Arabidopsis thaliana: one gene and its partner. The protein of the gene in region 1 purifies or fractionates together with the protein of each later gene. This does not show direct contact. Each region holds a gene or a part of one and is shown on either strand. Other genes may lie near its edges.

Region 1 (8,422 bases):
AGTTCTGAAAATGCTCCCAGCTTCATGAAGAGATTTGTGGAGTTTATCACTGGTTAACATTGTTCTTTGTGTGACACGAATAAATTTTGATGTAACCTTTGAATTTGATTTGGTTCTCTATATAATTATGGTTAAGGAATTAAATACAGGAATGACTCGGTTGTGACTATATGAGATTTGTGGTCTAATATTTTATTTTATTTTTTGTTGCTGACAAATAGTAACACAATTTAGTTTCAAATACGTTTTATGCATATACATGTATCATAACAAACCTCAAATTGTCATTGAATTGGGTTCAAAGGAATAGATGTACAGTTTGACAAAAAAAAAAAGAAAAGGAATAGATGTACAATGTTATTGATCTAATTTGTGGCTATTAGTTATTACAGGCTCAGAATCAAGAAGGTAACGACTGGTGCATGCATATGTATACAAGTACTCACAAGATGGATTGAGGTCGGGTTATTGTCTGGATACATTTGTAATAAGAGTTTTTGGTTATACACCATCGGGTCCACCTCTAGTCTGATTAATATCCAAATATGGAAAGCAATATTGGTTAAGCAACTTGTGATTTTATCATTTTGCTAAAAATAACTAATGATTTGTTAGCAAAAGTAACTTATGATCATATCAAATTTAACCAAACCAGTTCATATCAAGCTGTGTACTTGTCAGGGTTTGATTGGATGAATCAGTGTATACTCATACATATAGTAAACTCACATACATATTACTCTGTTTCTGTTCTTCACTCTCTTTTCCAAAGAAGATGGAATCTGATCTAACCACAGAGCATCATCTACCATTCATCCGAATTCATAAGAACGGCCGAGTCGAGCGGCTTAGCGGCAACGACATCAAACCAACGTCTTTAAACCCACAAAACGATGTCGTTTCGAAAGACGTCATGTACTCATCGGACCACAACCTCTCCGTCCGTATGTTTCTCCCCAACAAATCTAGAAAACTCGACACCGCCGGTAACAAAATACCTCTACTCATCTACTTTCACGGCGGAGCTTACATCATACAATCTCCTTTCTCTCCGGTTTACCATAACTACCTCACGGAGGTTGTTATAACCGCTAACTGCCTAGCCGTGTCGGTTCAGTACCGTCTTGCGCCAGAGCATCCGGTTCCGGCGGCTTACGACGATTCATGGTCTGCGATTCAGTGGATCTTTTCTCATTCTGATGATTGGATTAATGAATACGCTGATTTCGACAGAGTTTTTATCGCCGGAGATAGTGCCGGAGCCAATATATCGCATCACATGGGAATAAGAGCTGGTAAGGAGAAGCTTAGCCCTACAATCAAAGGGATTGTTATGGTGCATCCAGGTTTTTGGGGGAAAGAACCGATCGACGAACACGATGTACAAGACGGAGAAGTCAGAAACAAGATCGCATATATTTGGGAAAATATCGTTAGCCCGAATAGTGTTGATGGAGTGAATGATCCGTGGTTTAATGTTGTTGGATCCGGATCGGATGTTTCCGAGATGGGATGTGAAAAGGTTTTGGTTGCGGTTGCCGGAAAAGATGTGTTTTGGCGGCAAGGATTGGCTTATGCGGCGAAGCTGGAGAAGAGTCAGTGGAAAGGAAGTGTTGAGGTGATTGAGGAAGAAGAGGAAGGACACTGCTTCCATCTCCATAACCATAATTCTCAAAATGCTTCGAAATTGATGCAGAAGTTTTTGGAGTTTATCATAAGTTGAATCTTGATGCTCAAGTATGGTATTAGATGACATAATCCTTTTATATAATCATATTGTTAACTTTAATAATAATTTATGATTTTAATCGTCAAATTTCGGAGAGTTGAACATACAAATAACTTATGATTTTAATCTCTAATTGCTGTGAATTTGTGTATCAAACTCCTGTATATTCGATAAATCATTCGTATAAGATTGTTCGGCCATATCAATAACCGGTTAGGTCCATACACATAGATTTCGAAATTTGCACCTCCGGTTTAAATTTTCGAACCGAACCGCTTTAAAACTCCTCGCGGTCGGATTAAACTATTCGCATCCTTAAGCACAGTCTTTGCCGGAGAAAATATTCCGGTAGCCATGCTCCGGTCATTAACTTGTTCCTCGACCATTACTTCGACCTCTCTCTTCTTCCGCTCTTTCCGCCAGCTCCCTCGCTCTTACTTGTCTCCCTCATCGTCAACGACCGTCGTCGGTGCCTCCGGCCGCAACATTCGCCGGCTTTCTACTCTAGAAGCTGCTGGGAGACGGCTATTTCTACGACGAGGCTTGAAACTACTCTCCGCCGCGAGTCGTGGTCTCAATGGACAGTTCTCTCGCTTATCTATTCGCGCCGTCGCTACACAATCCGCACCTTCTTCTTATCCCGGTGAGATAATCAAACTCTTTAGCTGGAATTGAATCTGTACTCTTTCTCTGTAAAATTTCAAATGTTTCTATTTTCCGAGTAGTTTCTAGATTCAGAGTGTTTCTCGTTGGTGAAATTTGTGTTTAGTTGATGTTACTTTACTCCACAAACACTCTCTTATAGAGAAATTTCCTTGGGCTTTTGATCAAATTGACACTATACCTGCGTTAGGATAAAATGGAACATTTTCTTCTCATATTTGATTTATGTTTTTGGTTAAATAGTGTTCTGATGAGAGTCAAATGTAGGTCAAGATGAGGCTGAGAAGCTTGGATTTGAGAAAGTCTCTGAAGAGTTTATCTCAGAGTGTAAATCTAAGGCTGTTCTCTTCAAACACAAGAAAACTGGTTGCGAGGTGATGTCTGTTTCTAACGATGATGAGAACAAGGTGTTTGGCATTGTTTTCAGGACTCCTCCGTAAGTGTGTTCTAGAACACATGAATCTGTCCTACTAGTTTATCTTTAGTATAGGTGACTTGGAAATTTATGTTCATCTCGGTGATTTCTTAACGGTTTGTAAGAAATTTGTGGTATATGAGGCTTCGTTCTTGGATTATAGTCGAGTGAGTGAAATTGTAGCATATCAAGGTCAAAAATTAGCCAATGTTGAATAGTTTTGCACTTTCAGTTGGAATAGGTACCACGAGCTAGCGAAAATTGTAAGTGGAAGTGGTTGACAGTGGTTTGATAAAAGTTTGGTTCTTGATGCAGGAAGGATTCCACTGGCATTCCTCACATACTGGAACATAGCGTATTATGTGGGTCAAGAAAGTACCCGATGAAAGAACCATTTGTCGAATTATTAAAGGGAAGTTTGCATACTTTCCTAAACGCATTCACATATCCTGATAGGACTTGTTACCCAGTTGCTTCCACAAATAAAAAGGTAATAATATATAAATACTCTTTTCTTCCCCAACCACTGTCATATATTCAAGTTTGGTCTGATCACATTTCATCACTATCTATGCTAGGATTTCTACAATCTTGTCGATGTATACTTGGACGCTGTATTCTTCCCCAAGTGTGTGGATGATGTTCACACTTTTCAGCAGGAGGGTTGGCATTATGAGCTTAACGATCCTTCAGAGGACATATCTTACAAAGGTTCTATTTATTACATATGCCTAGTTTAAAAGCTTGTTTGTTTTTATCTTTCCGTTTGTTGAACCTCTAATCTATTAACTTACTCTCCCTGTCTCTTTTTTGATGTTTCACATATCAGGCGTTGTTTTTAATGAGATGAAAGGTGTCTATTCACAGCCTGATAATATACTAGGGCGGGTTACTCAACAGGCAAGTTTTGATTGTTCCTTAATTTTCTTGAATTATTCGTCCACAATCTATTTCTAAGAATGAATTTCTGTAAATGTTTTGAGTGGATGTGCAGTGTCTAAAAATTTAGCTTTGTTAATTTTTGATGTTTTATAGCTTATCTGATTAAATGTGTGTGTGTGTGTGTGTGTGTATAGAGATATTTATCTTTGCATGTACGCGTCTGCATTTAATAGTTTGTTGGTTTCGTATTAATAATTGAAGTTTCTCACAAAACAATACTTCAACATCTGCTCCTGAAGTCTTTGTTAGATAATCTGCTTTCATTATTCTTTGGTACAGTGTGGTGCTTATGGAACACACTTGTTTTCTCTTCTATTTTCTTTTAATAGGCATTATGTCCAGAAAATACATACGGTGTTGACAGTGGAGGTGATCCAAAAGATATCCCCAAGCTTACGTTCGAGAAATTTAAGGTTTGTTAAGTACGTCATGTGATATAATTAAACGTTGAAATAATATGATATTATCTTGCGACAAAAGCGTAATACTCTGTATGTTATGATCTCCGATGCATATTTATTGTTCTTCATGTGAAAAATTCCAGGAGTTCCACCGTCAGTATTATCACCCTAGCAATGCCAGGATATGGTTCTATGGAGATGACGATCCAGTTCACCGCCTTCGCGTCTTGAGTGGTAAAGAGCCATATCTTAAATTGTACTTTCTGTTGGGGCATTTCCTTTTCTTGATCTATGTTCGCCATTATGTTATTGTTTTACAGATTTTGTCTCTATTTTACTAATTTGTGCAGAATACTTGGACATGTTTGATGCAAGTCCAGCTCGAGATAGTTCAAAGGTTGAACCACAAAAGCTTTTCTCTAGACCTCGTAGGATTGTTGAAAAATACCCTGCTGGTGAAGATGGTGACCTTAAGAAGAAGCATATGGTGTGCCTTAACTGGCTTCTCTCTGACAAGCCACTGGACTTACAAACTCAACTCGCACTTGGGTTTTTGGATCATCTAATGCTTGGGACTCCTGCCTCCCCATTGAGAAAAATCTTATTGGAAAGCGGTTTAGGAGAAGCTCTTGTTAATAGTGGGATGGAAGATGAACTTCTCCAGCCCCAATTCAGTATAGGTTTGAAAGGTGTTTCCGATGATAATGTCCAAAAAGTTGAAGAGTTGGTCATGAATACTCTGAGAAAGTTGGCAGATGAGGGGTTTGACACTGATGCTGTTGAAGCATCCATGAATACCATTGAGTTTTCTCTGAGAGAAAACAATACAGGGTCGTCCCCTCGTGGTTTATCACTTATGCTTCAATCAATTGTGAGTTTATCTGCCTTTTTCTTTGGTTTGTCTTATCTAATATATTTGTATAGTTTCTTATTTTAGTGTTGGATGTTTAGGCGAAATGGATATACGACATGGATCCTTTTGAGCCATTAAAGTATGAGGAACCATTGAAGTCCCTGAAAGCTAGAATAGCTGAGAAAGGATCCAAGTCTGTCTTTTCTCCGCTGATAGAGGAGTATATTTTGAACAACCCTCATTGTGTTACTATAGAGATGCAGGTATTTTTTGTCTCCGAGTTTCTCATTGCTGTCTAATGTTTCTATAATCTTATGCCCAAAACACGTTTGTCAGCCTGATCCAGAAAAAGCTTCTCTAGAGGAAGCGGAGGAGAAAAGTATTCTAGAAAAAGTTAAAGCAAGTATGACAGAAGAGGATCTTACAGAACTAGCGCGTGCCACAGAGGAGTTGAGATTGAAGCAAGAGACTCCTGACCCTCCTGACGCACTGAAATGCGTTCCAAGTTTAAATTTGAGTGACATTCCAAAAGAACCTATATATGTTCCCACTGAGGTGATGATTATATTAGCTCTCTGCTGTTGTTGGATTCCTTTTAATTTCTCAGCTTGATGCTGATATGGTGCTTTATAGGTTGGAGATATTAATGGCGTGAAGGTGTTGCGGAATGATCTCTTTACAAATAATATACTCTACACTGAAGTAGTCTTTGATATGGGCTCAGTAAAGCATGAGCTTCTTCAACTGATACCCCTCTTCTGGTAACTTGTTGACTTCTACATCTGATGATTTAACCGTAAGACTTTATATTCTGCTTTTGGTTATTCACCTAATTTTTCCAGAAATGCAAATGGTGAAAATATTTAATGAAGAATACTGCTACAAAAAAATTCCAAGCATTCCCTGTTCTCCTGATTGAATCTCTAACCAAATCACAATTTCGGATGTCTGACGTAGTTTTAAGCATTTAGAATAACATATAGCTTGGTTTTTGTCCGAGGGAGTGTCCATGTCTATTTTACTATTCTTGACTTTTACTTAAGTGTTCTCAACAACACTCAGTTGAAATGCTATGTCAAAAGGCAGCTTTCAAGCCTCCTGCTATAGTGTCATGATCTGTTATACTATTTCTTAGTTGCATTTTAGTTATAGCAGTATCAAGGTCGATTTCCAGTTACATACTCTTACTAACATTTGCTTCCAATTTCACTGTCAATTTTCTTAGTAGCTTCATTACACTTTTCTCTTGTCTCACACTAGACATTCGCATGCTATGTTCTTAATCTTCCGTAGATTTGACCAACGATTGTTTCCAGTTGGGGTTTATTACTGAGTATCCTATTCATAATCTTTTCCGTCAGTATAAGCCAGTGGGATACCCTATGCTAAATTCGTTTTAACTTTTAACTCCTATATAATTTCTGTTTTGACAGTCAATCATTACTAGAGATGGGCACGCAAGATTTGACTTTTGTACAACTTAATCAGTTAATTGGAAGAAAGACAGGAGGGATATCAGTTTATCCCCTTACATCCTCTGTGTATGGTAGGGATGATCCATGTAGCAAAATCATTGTGCGTGGAAAATCCATGGTTGGACGCGCTGAAGACCTTTTCAATTTGGTAATTTGCTTTAACTTATCACATTTAGCTGGAGATAACATACGTTGGGATAGTTAATTTAGAGTTTTCTAGCTGACAGATCAGGTTCTGCCTTGGTTCTCAAGATGTAGAGTGCAAGTTTAAACTTTTTGCCTCATGTCCTCTAACTATAGCCTTGTGGATAGCTCTTCTGTCCATCGGTTTATCAGAAAGCAAAACCTGTTTCTTTCATTTGTGTCTGCGTCTATGAAGTATCTCTTCTGTCTCCTGATCTCTTCCCTCTTAACGCAGAAATGCTCACTTTTTACCTCTCCCTATGCTCATGTCATTTGCTGAGCAGTATCTTATACTATATTTGTGTGTTCAAGTTAGAGTACAGAGGTACACTAGCCAATCGTTCGCTATTTGAAAACTGATTCTGTTAATTTTAGAGCTGAATTTTAGTATGAGCATATTCAAGAAATAATCCTAACTTTCGAGTTTAAAGTACAAAAAATGGAGACATAGAAATTAGCTGTAGTTTGAGATTCTTAAAATTCTAGTTAATTTCCTATAGAAGTTGTAGTTTGATTCTTATGTTTCATTCACTTTTGCCTTGCTGCAGATGAACTGTGTGCTGCAAGAGGTTCGATTTACCGATCAACAGCGGTTTAAACAATTCGTTTCTCAGAGTAGAGCACGAATGGAGGTATGCAGTTCCTTCTTCCTTTTGCATTCTTAATAGAAAACGGTGGTAGTAATATAACACCAACTCGTATTCATTTTAGAACCGATTGAGGGGAAGTGGTCAAGGAATTGCTGCTGCGAGGATGGATGCAATGTTGAACGTTGCTGGATGGATGTCTGAACAGATGGGTGGTCTCAGGTTGGAACTTGATCACTCTTTCTTTCATTGTTAGTTTTTACCATTTGTTTTGACCTCTTGATTTGATTGCATCTGTGGGAGAAGAAACTTAATTCATATTCTTAGTTTGATCTTATACTTATAGAGCCTAATAGAGTTTTGCTTTGATCTTTGTTGTAGTTACCTTGAATTTCTACACACTCTTGAACAGAAGGTGGATCAAGACTGGGAAGGAATTTCATCCTCACTTGAGGAAATCAGAAGATCTTTCCTTTCCAGGAATGGTTGCATAGTTAATATGACTGCTGATGGGAAGTCCCTCACAAACACGGAAAAATATGTTGGAAAATTTCTTGATTTACTCCCTGAAAATCCGTCTGGTGAACTCGTCACTTGGGATGCTCGACTTCCTTTGAGAAATGAAGCTATAGTAATACCAACCCAGGTAAATAAAATGAAAACCCTTCTATATATTTTGTGTCCTTTGGCGTGTATTTCTCTTCACCCGTCTTCTACTTACTCCACAATTCTATTCTTGCCTTTTTGACAGGTGAACTATGTGGGAAAAGCGGGAAATATATACAGCAGTGGCTACAAACTTGATGGGAGTTCATATGTTATATCAAAGCATATTAGTAACACATGGTTATGGGATCGTGTTCGTGTAAGTGGTGGTGCATATGGAGGTTCCTGTGATTTTGATTCACATTCGGGTAAACTGTTTTTCTTTTCCATTTTGATTTTGATCTGACAGAGTCTTCCCCAAGTTGCAAATTCTGCGTCAGACCTGACCTTTGGATTTTCTCTTGCACAGGAGTATTTTCGTTCTTATCTTACCGTGATCCCAACCTATTAAAGACTCTAGACATATATGATGGAACTGGGGATTTCTTACGTGGCCTCGATGTCGATGAAGACACCCTTACCAAAGCAATTATTGGGACAATTGGCGATGTCGATTCATACCAACTCC
Region 2 (6,668 bases), on another chromosome or scaffold:
CTATATATGTCAAATAGTTTCTCCAAAACATCCATCACGAGTTCCTTCATTTCAACGCATTTTGGATTACCTTTTCCATAGATAAGTTCAAAACTGAACATTGTAAATACCATTTTGCGACGAGGATCAAGTACACCAGCCACTATCAATATCTTATTGATTTTTTCTGTACCTTCCCAATATTTGTCAAACTTGGCCGTCATTGCAGAAGCCATCTCTCTCAAATCAGAATCTTGGCTAAAAGCCATTTTTTGCACACTTGACTGAATTTTGCAGATCTCATTGTAACAACCATTTGACGTCACCTTTATAGAAGAAGAGAATGCTAAAGTCGAATCATAGAAAGCTTTCAAGAACCTTACCATATGACGAGCATTGTCCCAATCAATTGCCATTGGAGGTCCGTCCCTCTTCTTTTTATTAGAATCAACCTCTTTGAACCATGCATCATAAGGTTTATCCATATCAGCCATCCTATCAAATGCAACTTTATACTTAAGTGCACTTTTCAACATCAAGTAGGTAGAATTCCACCTAGTAACACAATCCAATACCACACTTCCTCTTGTTATCTTCTCAACCTCCACCCAACGCTTAAATGATTCCAGCCTTGAATTAGAAGTCCTCACATATTTTACAGCATTACGAACACTTACGATGCTATTACTTATATCTTCAAGACCTTCATTGGCAATCAAGTTAAGAATGTGTGCACCACAACGTATGTGCATAAAATCACCATTCATCATCAAAGCATCACTATTTCTGTTACTTAGCCTCTCTTTCAAAACAGTATTAGCTTTATCATTGGCGCTTGCGTTATCCACAGTGATAGAAAATACTTTCTCAATACCCCAATCATCCAAAGATCTTAAAAACTGATTGGCGATGGTCTTTCCCTTATGATCAGGAATAGGACTAAAACTAATAATTCTTCTATGCAATTGCCAATCCATGTCAATAAAATGAGCAGTAACGACCATATAACTCAATGTCGTAATAGAAGTCCATATGTCAGTGGTAAACGACATGGCCTGCCTATTACGACTTAAAATAGTCTTCAATGCAGTTTTTTCAGCTCTGTACAGACCAACAACATCCCTAGTAATTGTTCTTCGCGATGGAATAGTAAACCAAGGGACAGCCATCTCACAAAAATGTTTAAACCCATCATTCTCCACAAAAGAAAACGACAACTCGTCCATGATAATCATTTTCACCGTTGCTTGCCTACACACGTTTTGATCAAAAGGTTTTATCATGCCAGCACCATTACCACCACCACTAGAGACTATGACATTCTGAGAATTAGATTCAAGATGATCCAAATAAGCTTTGCACTTTCTCATGTGTGTGTTCATATTGCTGGTTCCACATGTAGCAGGATTACATGAATAGATTTTACCACAATAATTGCATGAGCAACTATTATCATCATCTTTCAACCTCGTAAAGACTTTCCATGCTGTTGATCTTGTAGGTAGTTTTCTTTTTGCCTTTGGCGACACTGTTGGAGACTCGGGTTCTTTTCTTTTATTGCTAGTCGTGTTTCTTTTAGACATCTACAAACAAAACATGTATAAAATTGTTAGTCAATTGAAAGAATACAATTACGTTTCTATTAAAACATCTTTCATTATTAGTAAACTAAATAAACATGTATGATCTGTTTTCTTGCACGAAAATCCATTGATTATTGGTATGAATGCTAAAATATATTATATATATTGTAAACAAACAAAATCACCCAACCTACATGAAACCTATTCTTAAAAATTAAAAAATCTAAGTAAATAGAAGAAACAAGACAACGCAAACACAGATTTTTCTTTTCCATGACTTTGCGGTGTACGTACAGATTGAAAAAATCATCATATACTCATAATATTTAACTAAAATTGAGATGAGCGTAATTGTATTGCTAGAGAGTAGTTAAAAATCATACCGTGGCTGTAGAGAGTAGAGAGAGACGACGGAAGAACAAATGAAACGAAGTTAGAAGTAAACCTTAGGTTTTTACTTTTTAGGGTTAGAGTTTTAGTTAGAGATAAATAAATATTTAGAGTTATTTGTAATATTATTTATAGAATTAATTAATTAAGTATATAAAGACATTGGGTTGTCGGTTCGGTTTGGTTCAAAACCGAACCGAACCGACCCATTTGGGTTGAGATAAAATACAACCGAATTGTTTGAGTCTTAGATTGGGTTTGGTTTGGATCGGTTTGAGTTCGGTTGAGTCGGGTCGGTTCGGTTCGGTTCGGTTAAAATGCCCAGGCCTAAGATTTTGCTCTTATATAAGAGACAAAATACACTCTTAAAAAAAAAAAACTCTTATCAAAACTCTTAACTTCAAAATAAATTATAAAATTATTGTTAAGAACATTTGCTAAAAGCCCACCAATGTGGATGCTCTTATATCTTCATCATTGTTTTCTTTGTTTGCATGGCGTTTACTTTAGATATGCTACTTACTACTCATAAATTCTTTCCGGTCAAACGAAGCCAATGGCTTTTCCCATGTCCTCTCATAACAGCTTTCAGTTCGGGATCAGTCTCTGCATTGTACAACTCATATCCGGTAAAAGTCCATGGACTCACTATTCTCAAGCTGAGACGAATTCAAGAATTACAATTTTTTCTCGAAACCCTTCTCCAACTCTGTACACTCAACGTCATTACTCTCTTCCTATACACAGGCGAAACAGAGTCCTATGTAACCACACAAAACAGAGTTTAAATCAAATTAAGCAATATAACCCACGAATCAAGTGAGACAGCAAAATGAGATAAAATATCTGCAATCTAGAAATTCAGGAGATTGATAGATCAAACTACTTAAACATTGCTAATCCACAACCACAAACTAATGTAATAATGATTGTTTTGATTCAGTTTTTGGAAGCTTTAACTAATCCATCTTTTCGTGTTCTTCCTCATCATCTTCTGCTAGTATCACCAACCCTGAACTATGAAGTCTTCCTTTGTCCTGTCTCCTTCGTATACTACAACGTTTCCGCTCGCTGACCTGAACTATGTCGTCAAGGCTCTCGGCGACAACAAGCTTCACTGGTTCGTTGTTCTCAGCTGGAATAGGTTGAGAATTTTTGTGGACAGCAGCTTTTCCATCCTAGAGAAAACATTTTCTTTGGTTAGGTTATATTGATTTCATATATACTTCTTTTACATAAAGCTTGTGTGAATGTGTGAAAAAGAGAATGAAACCTGGAAGTCCTTGACCCATGATTCAATCTGGTCAACCTCAACCTCGACCATATTCATCACCATTGATGAAATCAATATCATAAGTATTGACATCTTTATCACCATTGTTATAGTTCTCCTCATCTCTGCAAAAACTCTCTAAACGAAAACAGAGTAAGAAGATAGTTGACGAACACACTGCTTTTGTACTTTGTATTAGAAAACAAGCTTAAATTAGGGAAGCTGCGGCAAAACCCTTAAATTAAGAACCACTAAGCAATAGAGGGTTTAGCTCTAATCAGTTTCAAATATAACATCCTTCAAAACCAGTAAAGGATTCATTGTTTACTAAACCCAAATCTAGCATTCAACAAAATCCAGTAAAAGACTCCTCTTTAATCCATTCCAAACCCACAAAAGACAAATCTAACACTGAACAAAGACCAATGTAGTTTTCACCTTAAATCAGTTAAAGAGCCTACCATTCTGACGAAATCAATAAACCACAAATTTGGAGACTAGTCATTTAGATAAAACTGATACTCTTCTACATATACAGATACATATAGTATCAAAGTCTTCATGCAAAGCCATTTTTCTAGAGGTAGCATTGTGTCTTTCACTCTTACGCTATCTAGTATCTACAGCCTGTATGCCGTTCCCATTCACTTGGTGACTGCTTCCTTGACCCACATGAACCACACTTGCACTCAATTCTGAAACAATAGTTCAAAGATTAATGTGTTGGTCAAATCTCTAAAACAACAAGACAATGATAACAGAAACCTAGGATTAAACACGGATTTTTTATCGTTTTCAGAGAAAAAATCAATTTACGATATTGTGCTGCATAGTCATAATTCATAAACAAATAAGATCCTTTCTAAATGAAGAAATTGAAATAAGGCTGAGACATCTAATACGTACGCATGAAATGCTCTGATATATGTTCCTTCCATGCCATTACAGACTACATTAATCTCATCAGGCAGCTCAGTCTGTGTCGCCTTTTCTGTAGACCAATCCCAAAGAGGTTGTGAGGAAATCTCGCATATTATAGCAATGGAGAAATGCAAACAATAAAATCAGGAGAACATGAGAAGTTAACAATATACTTGAACACTGAGTTCTGTTCTTCTAATATTGATAAGCTCATGCTGGACTTTACAGTTAGGGCAATAGTAACTGTTGTGCTCCAGTTCCTTAAGATGATAACCAAATTAGTGTGATAGTTCAACAAGCGTGTTCATTACTTAGAATCAAAAGTTAAGATGCATGAAGGTGTACCTTAAAGCGCTTATATAAATTATTGTCGCACCCATACGGCCATACATCACACTCATCACAATAAACCTAATACATCAAATCAAGTCAGCTAAATAGATGTAATCATTTCTTACAGGTCTGTATTTCACCAAACATGGTCACATATATTCTCACCCAATCTCCATCATTTGAAGGGCTGCCATACTCTCTTGCAAATGCCACAATACTGATTGGATTTCCGCAACTGAAACAACAAATTTGGATTCAATTCCTTTTGGCAAGAGAATTATTTGTAATTGTGTTTTCTAGATAAAGATGGTTGATGATGCAAAGTTATATACCTTCGTTTTCTCGCAATCTTGTGTGAACAGCAACTGCATGGGGTGCGATAACTGCTTTAGGTTGGGAAATATCTGGCTGTCCGGTCCAAGACTTGAGGTTGAGAATACCTATTATAGAGGTTTCATGTGAAATTTGTATGAGACAAAGGAGAATGATTCAAAGAGGAGAAGTAAAGGAACATAACAGTAATGAAGATTTGAAGTTACCTGAGGATGAAGATTCTTTATGGTGTTTGAGGTCAAATATGGCTCCACAAGCTGCACTTGCGTTTTTCTGCAACTTATGAGATCCAATCAGATTGTAGTCCCAGCTTCCATCTTTGTAGCCTTCACTAAGGAAGAGTTCAATGTGCCTAGCATCAAGAGTTTGCATTGTTCCTACATAGTAAAACAGAAACACTCTTAGTTGCAATTTAGTTATTGCAAGAGATCAATACAAAAGTTTCAGCAACAGATTAGAGTTGATTAGTGTCTTTTACCTCACAGGTACTGAGGTCACAAACAGGTCGCACAAGCTGTAAATCTGGAAAATGAGATAAGCCATATGTTACAGTTTTTCCTGCAGTTGACAAAGTTTCTGAAGATCATGAATAAGACATTTTTGTAACATCCGTTCTATGGTTCCTTCCTTTGGGACTTTCAGGCGACCACTCAAACTCTCAGTCAGGAGTGAAGTTCGAGAATCAAGCACAAAGGCACCAATCGGCATCCAATCTATAATTACAGTGTAAAAAAAACAGATAAAGATGAGGCTGTGATCAGCAAATGAAGTACTTCAAAGTCAAAGATCTGTACAATACATCTATATTTAACACGACTTTTTGACAATTGACAATTTTTTTCCATTTAGAGTACCCAAAAAACATGACACGTATTGCGCCAGGGACGCAATGTTTCAAGACCCCATCAGGCGCTTGTACCACAGCCGGCCCAGACAAGATCGCCGACTGTAAATTCCTCTGGTTTGTACACGCCCTTACGCGAGGCGTCGGACTTTTTCGGCATACCAAAGTTAGCATCCCAGTAATCGCAATCTACTTCGCTGCTGTCTTCGTTATCCTTACGTGGAAACAGCTTCGGGTCTTTGCTTCGATGCAATTTCGAGCTTCCCCAGATACATGTCTCCGTCGACTCTTCCTTGCGACTCTTCAAGGATTTCCATGTACCAACAATGGAGTCCCTGAACCTTGAAGGAACCGCTCGAACTCTGCCACGCGAAGACTTGGACTGGTCAGAGCACACTTGTTGAGATTCTTCTCTACTGGTCAAGGAGCTTGAGCTACTTGTTAGAACTCCGGGTTCTCTGCTACATGGTTGATCAACGCTTGCTCGTTGTCTCTTCTTATACACCATAATCTCACCCTTTTGGCTACCATACTCAATTTCTAAATCAATTTTGCACCGCTTCAGATTCAGATTATCGAATGTCGTCAAAATCCGTTTCAAAATCATGTCCTATCTCAGCTATTATCGCGTAGTCAACATAAACGACTATTCAAATTCCGATTCCAAACCCCTAATTTCATTAAACAAAACAGATTCGCACTTCGGACCTCCGGGAAACAAAAACTCGCAACGTTTCAATTCCTTTAGCAAATTGGCTCAATAGACAACAAACCCAATGCGAAACCGCTTCTTCAACCCTAAATTCGAAAACGAAAACCAAATTCTCGTTCTCTCAGAGGATAGAATTAAGAAATCAAACGACAGAGAAATCGTAAAACTCTAACACGCAGGAGAAACAAACCAAATCCTCCTCGTAAATTCCTTGGAGAAATTATCAGTGCTTTCACTACGGAGAAGATAAAACCTTAAAATCGACGGCGAAGGAAGACAAAAGAGGAGGAGAAAGATATT

What was found. Proteins that work in one complex are often made in the same cells at the same time.
Region 2: the proteins of PREP2 (region 1) and AT3G62510 fractionate together in Arabidopsis thaliana (co-fractionation; one large-scale study listed by BioGRID). This does not show direct contact.

Annotation. Positions count from the first base shown.
Region 1 is NC_003070.9:18,368,998-18,377,419, reverse strand, and holds the start of PREP2 (presequence protease 2), read left to right. Parts: upstream 1-1,925; 5' UTR 1,926-2,083; coding exon 2,084-2,372; intron 2,373-2,659; coding exon 2,660-2,828; intron 2,829-3,122; coding exon 3,123-3,297; intron 3,298-3,385; coding exon 3,386-3,518; intron 3,519-3,535; exon of another isoform or gene 3,536-3,620; coding exon of another isoform or gene 3,621-3,636; coding exon 3,637-3,707; intron 3,708-4,078; coding exon 4,079-4,162; intron 4,163-4,293; coding exon 4,294-4,384; intron 4,385-4,500; coding exon 4,501-5,021; intron 5,022-5,101; coding exon 5,102-5,266; intron 5,267-5,339; coding exon 5,340-5,558; intron 5,559-5,636; coding exon 5,637-5,764; intron 5,765-6,436; coding exon 6,437-6,626; intron 6,627-7,209; coding exon 7,210-7,293; intron 7,294-7,372; coding exon 7,373-7,470; intron 7,471-7,629; coding exon 7,630-7,894; intron 7,895-7,999; coding exon 8,000-8,162; intron 8,163-8,263; coding exon 8,264-8,422. Other genes in the region: AT1G49650 (alpha/beta-Hydrolases superfamily protein), read left to right, coding at 1-57; AT1G49640 (alpha/beta-Hydrolases superfamily protein), read left to right, coding at 776-1,723. UniProt on the Arabidopsis thaliana protein: ATP-independent protease that degrades both mitochondrial and chloroplastic transit peptides after their cleavage. Also degrades other unstructured peptides. Specific for peptides in the range of 10 to 65 residues.
Region 2 is NC_003074.8:23,120,018-23,126,685, reverse strand, and holds AT3G62510 (disulfide isomerase-like protein), read right to left. Parts: upstream 3,856-6,668; 5' UTR 3,834-3,855; exon of another isoform or gene 3,498-3,833; intron 3,351-3,497; 5' UTR 3,349-3,350; coding exon 3,226-3,348; intron 3,131-3,225; coding exon 2,912-3,130; 3' UTR 2,895-2,911; downstream 1-2,894. Other genes in the region: AT3G62500 (F-box protein RMF), read right to left, coding at 4,198-4,216, 4,320-4,406, 4,492-4,557, 4,645-4,714, 4,812-4,919, 5,019-5,189, 5,302-5,334, 5,409-5,525 and 1 more; AT3G62499 (YTH family protein), read right to left, coding at 6,537-6,668.